2 linked regions of the Bombyx mori genome follow. The protein of the gene in region 1 binds, or shares a complex with, the protein of each later gene. Links are inferred from orthologs where the notes say so. Each region holds a gene or a part of one and is shown on either strand. Other genes may lie near its edges. The genes, in order: serine/threonine-protein kinase fused and suppressor of fused homolog.

What was found.
Region 2: the proteins of serine/threonine-protein kinase fused (region 1) and suppressor of fused homolog are in contact, whole or in part, in a crystal structure (PDB 6LPH), measured with the Drosophila melanogaster proteins. The link is inferred for Bombyx mori from reciprocal best matches to the Drosophila melanogaster genes fu and Su(fu). Residues at the interface, in NP_477499.1 of Drosophila melanogaster: Phe371, Val372, Ser373, Asn375, Ser376, Asn377, Met378, Ile379, Leu380, Asn381, His382, Met383, Asn384, Asn386, Phe387; in NP_536750.2 of Drosophila melanogaster: Leu18, Ile22, Pro33, Asn34, Pro35, Leu36, Gln37, Val38, Thr39, Thr40, Leu41, Leu42, Asp50, Tyr54, Met57, Arg127, Thr130, Trp131, Ala133, Asn134, Gln137.

What each region holds. Positions count from the first base shown.
Region 1 is NC_085116.1:10,508,126-10,512,606, reverse strand, and holds the start of serine/threonine-protein kinase fused, read left to right. Parts: upstream 1-1,564; 5' UTR 1,565-1,751; coding exon 1,752-1,862; intron 1,863-2,228; coding exon 2,229-2,488; intron 2,489-2,972; coding exon 2,973-3,141; intron 3,142-4,075; coding exon 4,076-4,231; intron 4,232-4,354; coding exon 4,355-4,481. UniProt on the Drosophila melanogaster protein: Probable serine/threonine-protein kinase; maternally required for correct patterning in the posterior part of each embryonic metamere. May be involved in control of cell division during metamorphosis and ovarian development. May interact with costal-2.
Region 2 is NC_085130.1:19,120,621-19,124,448, forward strand, and holds part of suppressor of fused homolog, read right to left. Parts: intron 3,651-3,828; coding exon 3,454-3,650; intron 3,163-3,453; coding exon 3,014-3,162; intron 1,312-3,013; coding exon 1,226-1,311; intron 556-1,225; coding exon 429-555; intron 1-428.

The sequences.
Region 1 (4,481 bases):
ATCGCTCGACACGAATGCAGCGGACTTCTTACCCTTTGGCCACAACAAATTCAAAATTACATTATACAACAAAATTGAGAATTCAACTTGTGTATGAAGGTGCCGGGGGGCATTCAGGTCAAAATGTCCGTGAACTGTGGTAACCGTCCAAATCCAGGCTGTATACGAGCTTCTCCACCCATCTAATGTAATAAAAAACAATTTCAGATAAATCAATAACAATTTCACTTCGCTATGAAGCTATTCTTTTCAAAAAAGGTTGACCTTTGAATTAATCCGAATCGAAGTATGAAGAATTTATTGAAAAAAATATTCGAATAAGGTTTTATGAAATATCTTCAAACAATGTAAAGAAAATAAATTTGTAGCTAACCTAATGTAACCAATGAATCATTTGGTCTTATCTATGGAGCCACTCACTGAGAATATCCGGGGAAAACTCAGGCGATTATGTCTGTGGATTAAGTTGCATGTCGAACACTTCGCCGCCCACTGAGTTTCTTGTTGGATATTCTTAGTGGGTCCGATTCAGTGGTAGATTCTGCGAAGCACTGCCCTTGCTAGGGCTGATTTTAGCAAATTCTCTCAGGTTGAGCCTGTGTGCTCATCTAACCGTAGTTGTAATAATTCCCGGCGAATAGGTAGGAGAAAAAAATATGATAAGAAGGCTACCTAATAGGTCGGGTTGCTTTTTCAAAGAAACCGCGTCTATGATCGCTTTTGGTCTAGAGACCTCGCCACTTTCCTAAGCCGGCTATTGTAAATTATTTTGTGGTCGTTTTTTGTAACAACAAACAAGGAATTTCAATTTTCCACGCTCGAATCGATTCTTTGGTTTTAGATTGAAAATAATAGTTTAAAATTACTAAAAAAAATAAGCTTTTATAAAAATTAAACTAAAAATAGAAAATAAATTTTAATAAATTTGAATTAAAAATAGTGTAAGAAAAAAATGATCTTATTGTAAAAAAAGTGTGGGTGGTTTTCAGGATATGTATTATCAAAATATTTATAACTGTTATAACCATGCACCCCACGGTTTCTTTTTACAATAAATTCATTTATTCTAAATTGTATATCTGTTATGGTGTATATATGGTGCTAATATAGATCCATTAATTTTGAAACTTCCTGTTTTTATTTATTGTTTTGCATTTCTCTGCTCCAGTCTTTTAACGTACATGATATTATGTATTGTCTATTTAGTGTTTCTTCAGGTTTAAATGTGTAATAACGTTGGTTTATTAACTGTTTATTATCTGTGAAAGTGCACAAATATGGGAAAATGAAACAAAGTCGCTGGACGTAACTTCTCGGGATCCTTCAAAAAGTCCACTGAAAAAATCAGTAAATGACCACCATTTTACTGAGATTATATTTCATCGCATATAATCTCATCATATTTCATTTAATTTTATCCCAGTTGATTAATGTCTCAAATTAATCATCTTCATTTCATTTCATGTCATGTTTCACTTCATTTTATTTCATAATGTCATATTTCATAAAATAAAATAAATTTATAAAAGATTAGGCTGTATGGTATGATACTTTTGCCTTTCTATTTGGAAAAATAAAATTACTACATTACGAAGAGAACAAAATATTTTATGTTTATTTACAATACATATGTACGACGACTGGAGCAGAGAAATGCAAATCAATAAATAAAAACAGGAAGTTTCAAAATTAATGGATCTATATTAGCACCATATATACACCATAATAGATATACAACTTTACATTTTAAAATGAATAGCTACGTTATAAATTCATTCGTCGGCGAAGGCTCATTTGGACGTGTTTTTAAAGCAAAACACAAAGATACCGATGCTGTAGTAGCCTTGAAAGTGATAAGGAAGGTATTTATTAAGTTTTTATGACTTTAAATACTTGGTGCCTTCATGATTTCCTAATTTTTTTCTATAAATGTATACCATCAATACAAATAAATTACAAAAAAAACTTGCGAGTGCTTATTAAATCTTCATTTCCACTATTTCCAAAATAATATATTTAATAAGATCATTAATAAAGTGTGATAAAATAATAATTGTACACACAGAGAATGTTATTAACCAGGTTTTCTTACTAGTAAAATTTTAAATGGTCTTATTCAGTTATCATGATCCCAATGTCTTCGCTGTCATAGATATCACGGTCAAACCTCTCGTCATCCACATTAGTTAATAAACAAATATTCTTACACAATAATTCAACATTTTCAGAAAGGTCGCTCGTCTAAAGACTTAAAATGTTTGAAGCAAGAATGCGACATACAGAGGCAATTGAATCATCCAAACATAATTCGGATGATAGACAGTTTCGACACTGATACAGAATTGGTAGTTGTCACAGAATATGCTGAGAAAGAACTACATGGAATATTGGCTAAGGAGGGTTGTCTTAATGAAGAACAAGTGAAGAAGATTACTTGGGACCTTGTGTCTGCACTGTACTACTTACATTCTCATAGAGTTTTACATAGGTAACTTGTTTGTTTCATATTTTATATCAAATAATAATACTAAACACACATTATTAATATTATATCATTATTGATGTAAATAATAATTATATCTAAACATTTTTTGGACCTTGGCAGGGGGCATAGCTAGGTGAAATCAGTATAATTTATTCATTTTTTCTCTATAGCCTGGCTTATAATAGAGACATTCATCTTATATCTCAATGTGGACAGTTATATTGATTGGTTCTGGATACTGAATCTATTAAGATTTATTTAAATAAAAAGATTAATTTGTAAAAAAATTGAGAGTAGGATAGAAAGTTATTATTGTTCTTATAGTTAATATTTAATTTGATCTGAGCTTTTAACGTTGAAATTGGATATTGAAGTAATTCTCATTGCATAAAATTGAGAAAGAAAATAATCATAGAAATATCTATGATTCATTTATTATGATTTTATATTATTCCTGAACATTTATCATACAAAATAACAATTTTAGAGACCTCAAGCCACAAAATGTGCTATTGGATAGTACAGGACGTGCCAAACTCTGTGACTTTGGTCTTGCAAGAATAATGACAAATGCAACACACATTTTAACATCCATCAAAGGCACACCATTGTACATGGCCCCCGAGTTAATTGATGAGAAGCCATATGATCATCAGGTAATTATATTAAAATAGCATTATATAAACAAAGAGTTATACTGTAATTTTCTGTGGAGATGACATGTTTTTACCTATGTCTTCCGTCTGACCTAACTATTCTTAGTAAAACTATAATTAAAAAAAAAAAACTGGTCAATCTGTTGCTTTGTTTTGATGTGAAAGGGCATACAAATACACAATCTAATAACAAACACACTTTCACATTTATAATATTTGTATAGTGTGGAAGTATGGATACTTAGTATGCATGCTGTTCCATCAATGCAGCTATGCTATTATATTATATAGTAATACTTTCAATTTTCAAAATTACATTAATTATTCTTAGTAAAACATTATTTATAACAATAATTGACATATTTTAGAGTACTTTTATTTTAATTTGTCCTTAGCCTAATTAATATAAATCAATAATTTCAGAGATTTTCCTGTACGTAATTAAAAAAAAAAAAACATGAATTTATGCTAATGATAGTTTATTCAACAATATTTTTATGTATGCATATATGGTAGGGTTTATATATTAATTAATCACTTTGCTATAAACAAAAGTGATTATATCGTTAAAACTTCATTTTATACAGATATTTCTGTCACTTTTTATGCACAAATATGCATCAAAACCTCATGGAATATTGTTATTAATCCTAAAGAGTTGCAAACATTTTTGTACATTACAGGGCTCCTTGTGGAAAATTTCAGCACCTATAACAACAGGAGTTAAAAAAATTTGCTATCACAATACTGACTAAATATCAATATAATAATTATCCAAATTGTTTTTTTTTAAGTATAATAATATGGGTGAATAAGCCACTTTGTGCTATGTGGTTACCTGAGCCCATAGATATCTCAATGTGTTTGAGCACACCTATTTTGAGACATTATATTGAGATCTCAATTGTATTTTTATTTTGTGTATTTTTTTCAGGCAGACTTATGGTCACTTGGCTGTATTGTATATGAGCTAATTGCTGGGCAACCACCTTTCTGTACAATGTCTATATGGCAACTTGTCCGCATGATTAGACACAAACCTGTACAGTGGCCTAGTTTCATCAGCACTAATGCTCGGACCTTCCTACAGGTTTGTTTGCTTTTGAGCTCTCACTTCAAGCTTTTAAAACTGCACAAATAATTTAACATTTTACGTTTAATTAAGTTATACTATTTGTACCATTAGTTTAATAGTATTAAAATATTTATTTAGGGCTTATTGCATAAAGATCCTTTGAAAAGAATGAGCTGGCCAGAAATATTGGAACATCCATTTGTAGCTGGTCACATTCTTATTCTACCAGAAGACGTCCAGAGTGAATCACCATTTACCAAGCCTT
Region 2 (3,828 bases), on another chromosome or scaffold:
ACACGTGGTAGAAGTGAAACCTTCCAAAATTAAAATACAATTATCCTAAACGTCTTAAGTATATGTAAAATTTTGTCATTAGTAAATAATTGTAAGGTGGCGCCCTCTGTGAATTGATATTTTAATTTCACGTATAATCCTAAATTAAAATTCACTACAAGAGCTTTCATACACACGTTAGTATTAAAAAATCTCACAGATAGCGCTGTATTAAATAGTATGTATATTTCTGTCTCATTCTTTGCTGGCTTCATCCTACACATTTTTATATATGTGTCTCTTACCTGTCGTTTTTTCCGTTGCATCCGGTTTGAAATCACAACGATTCTAAAGAAGTTTTCACTTCAAAATATATATTAACGTGTCATCCGCCCGACCCTGCGGTCTATGAGCTCGTGCGTCCGCTACAGTACAATACACAGACGTACCTCCCACGCGGCCCAGCGCACGTCGCAGGAGACGCCGGCCAGCTGCGCCAGCGCGCCCCCCGCGCCGCCCCCCGCCCGCACCGACACCCGCCGCTCCATGCGCGTCACCAGCCAGCACCCGCCGCACCTGAACACAGCGCGACACTGTAGCCGGGTCGCGCCCCCCCAACCCCCCGCACGACCCCGCCAACAGACGACTACCCTTTTTTTTATTGTTTAGATGGGTGGACGAGCTCACAGCCCACCTAGTCTTAAGTGGTTACTAGAGCCTATAGACCAGGCCATAGATAGCCAAACCCGTCGCTTGCGACGTAGGACTCGGCGAATAAGCTAACCCACAGACACAGCCCACTGAGTTTCTCGTCGGATCTTCTCAGTGGGTCGCGTTTCCGATCCGGCGGTAGATTCTGTGCCAGTGTTAGCAACACATCCGGTTTGAGCCCCGACAGCTCGCCTACGCGTTAAGGTGAAGCTGAAATAGCCTCTCAAGGCTATCAGCATAGGAAGAAAAGACAGAAAAAAAACAGCTGGTCTATGGCGCATTTTATTTATTTATTTATTGCCTAGATGGGTGGACGATCTCACAGCCCACTTTGTATAAAGTGGTTACTGGAGCCCATAGACATCTACAATGTAAATGAGCCATACATCTTGAGATATAAATTCTAGAGTCTCAAGTATAGTTACAACGGCTGCCCCACCCTTCAAACCGAAACGTATTACTGCTTCACGGCAGAAATAGGCGGGGTGGTGGTACCTACCCGCGCGGACTCACAAGAGGTCCTACCACCACTCACCTCGGGTCCTGCGCTATGAGTTTCAGTACCTCGCAGACGGAGCTCCTCTGGGCCGCCCTCAGTTCTCTGCTGGTGCAGCCCACCATCTGCAACACGCGGGAGGTCAACTCTAAGGCCGCTCGGTGCACGCAATGAAACAATCAGAGCTCAACGGGTCAACGAACTGTCATGACCGTCACTCTACATTACGGGTTCACGTCATAGGAAATGATCAACAACAGCCAGAGAGACGCGAGCTCCACGTGTTAACTGTACCAACGGTAGCAGCTTGGTTCTGTTCCTGGCACTGCTGACGTCCATGAGCGACGGTATCGGCTCACTATCAGATGGGACGTTTGCTAGTCTGTCTACGAAGATGAAAAAAATGTTTGGAAATTTTAACACAAACAAGGATAATGTTACGCCGGCAAGAGCAACGCCATCTATAGTCGGATAATAGCAGAAACGATTATCGAAAATACTCGACTTGTGTGGAATGTTCTCGATAGTTCTAGGGATGTCGTACCGACTATAAAAGCGTTGTAGGGATGGCACGCAGCCAGTTAGTAATCGGATCTACTCGAAGCGAAATAGCGAGCGGATCACCTGAAGCAGCGGTCGGGGAACTTTTTTAATTATTACCCTAAAATATTTTTGTGTAAGTTGATATTACCCCATGGTGAAGAACTAAAAAAAAACGAAATCGCTTCTTCTTAGCATCTTTCATATTATAACCTCCATGATAATTTGAAATCACGACTCTAAAGAAGTTTCACTTCAATATATACTTTTTACTATAAAAGTTTCATTTTTACACCCCAAAATTTCATTTTACCCCGGTTCCCCAACCGCTGACCTAAAGCGAAGCGGAAGAAGTGAATTGAGAATTTTAAAGTGTTTGTTGAGTGTTCCAAGTCTTAATTTGTACTTCGGTATAATTTTATTTATCCCGAACCCCAGCGCGTAACAATAATGCATCCACAATATAATTATCGAATCCCTTTTTTTTTTTAATAGATTTTATGACCTGGTAACTGAGACCTTTAAGTCATGTTTTATTTTAATTTATATTCATATTTTTATGAAAAATGTAATGAAATGAAGATGATTAATTTGAGACATTAATCAACTGGGATGAAATCAAACGAAATGAGATGAGATGATACGGGATGAAATATAACCGCAGTAAAATGGTGGGCATTTACTAAGATTTTTTCAGTGGACTTTTTGGAGGATCCCGAGAAGTTACGTCCAGCGGCTTTGATTCATTTTCCCACATGCTCGTGTGTTGCTCGTGAGTTGAAGAGAGAGCGAAATATTCGCTTCACCGCTCCGATTATTTATGACCCAAACTGCACGGACAAAATAATTCTACTATAGGAGACCACTAGTATTGTTCTATTTGACAAATCCATTTTAAAATTTGACAGTTCTTTTTTTTTTGGAGTTTATGACCTGGCAACAAAGACTTTTAGGTCATGTCTTATTTTAATTCATATTCTTATTTTTCGCGGCTTTCTTTCATTTTCCCACATTTGTGCACTTTCACAGCTGATACTAAACAGTTAATAAACCACCGTTATTCCACATTTAAACCTGAAGAAACACTAAATAGACAAAATAAAACAAATCACACAACTTCCCTCCTCGCGTTCCCGCCAAAAAGTCCCCGTTGTCTGCAACAAGACACGCACAGGGGGACGAACTTCCTACGAGGACCCCACGGTTAGGGGGCGCGCGGGGTAGGTAAGACTTGATGATCTGCAGATGTTGGGAGCAGACCATGGGCCCAAGGAGCACACAGGATACCTGTAGGAAGGTGACGATGCCGTGCGGCGTGCGAGCGTGTCGCAGCTGCGGCTCTGTCGCGACCAGCAGGTGTCGCATGCGGCCCCCGGACCTCTCGCCGTCCAGCGGACGATGCCACGATATGTGGTCCCCGGCGCACAGCTTGTTACCTAAACCAGAAGAACCGTAGTAATTATTGGTGGTAGATACCATCACCTCCCTGCCTATTTCTGCCGTGAAGCAGTAATGCGTTTCTGTTTGAAGGACGGGGCAGCCGTTGTAACTATACTGAGACCTTAGAACTGATATCTCAAGGTGGGTGGCGCATGTACGTTGTAGATGTCCATGGGCTCCAGTAACCACTTAACACCAGGTGGGCTGTGAGCTCGTCCAACCATCTAAGCAATAAATAAAAAAAACTGACCTCAAGAAACGTCTATGAACAAACGTCACATTCAGACCTGTAGTGAACACGTATCTGGCCAAGGCCTGCAAGAGAGCCGCCGGCCACAGCGGGGGGTGCTCTGCCCCGTCAGCCGCGAGCCGGAACGTCAGCTCGATGCCGCAGCCAGACGGCAGGGGCGCGCCCGCGGACAGCGCCGCGCGATCCGGCGGAGGGTGGACCCTCCCATCCCCGTGAAGGTCTGACAGACCGAAACTGAAATTGAACTAATGTTATAACATTCAAGTCCCATGAGTTGTAGTCAACAATAATACAACACCTCAAACCTCAAGGTGAGCAACAACTGGCACTTTTGCAGTGTGGGCTTCAGATGGGTAAGCACCTGGTGCTTTGTGAGCTTGTCTGCTTATTAAAGAGAATCAGATGAGGAATG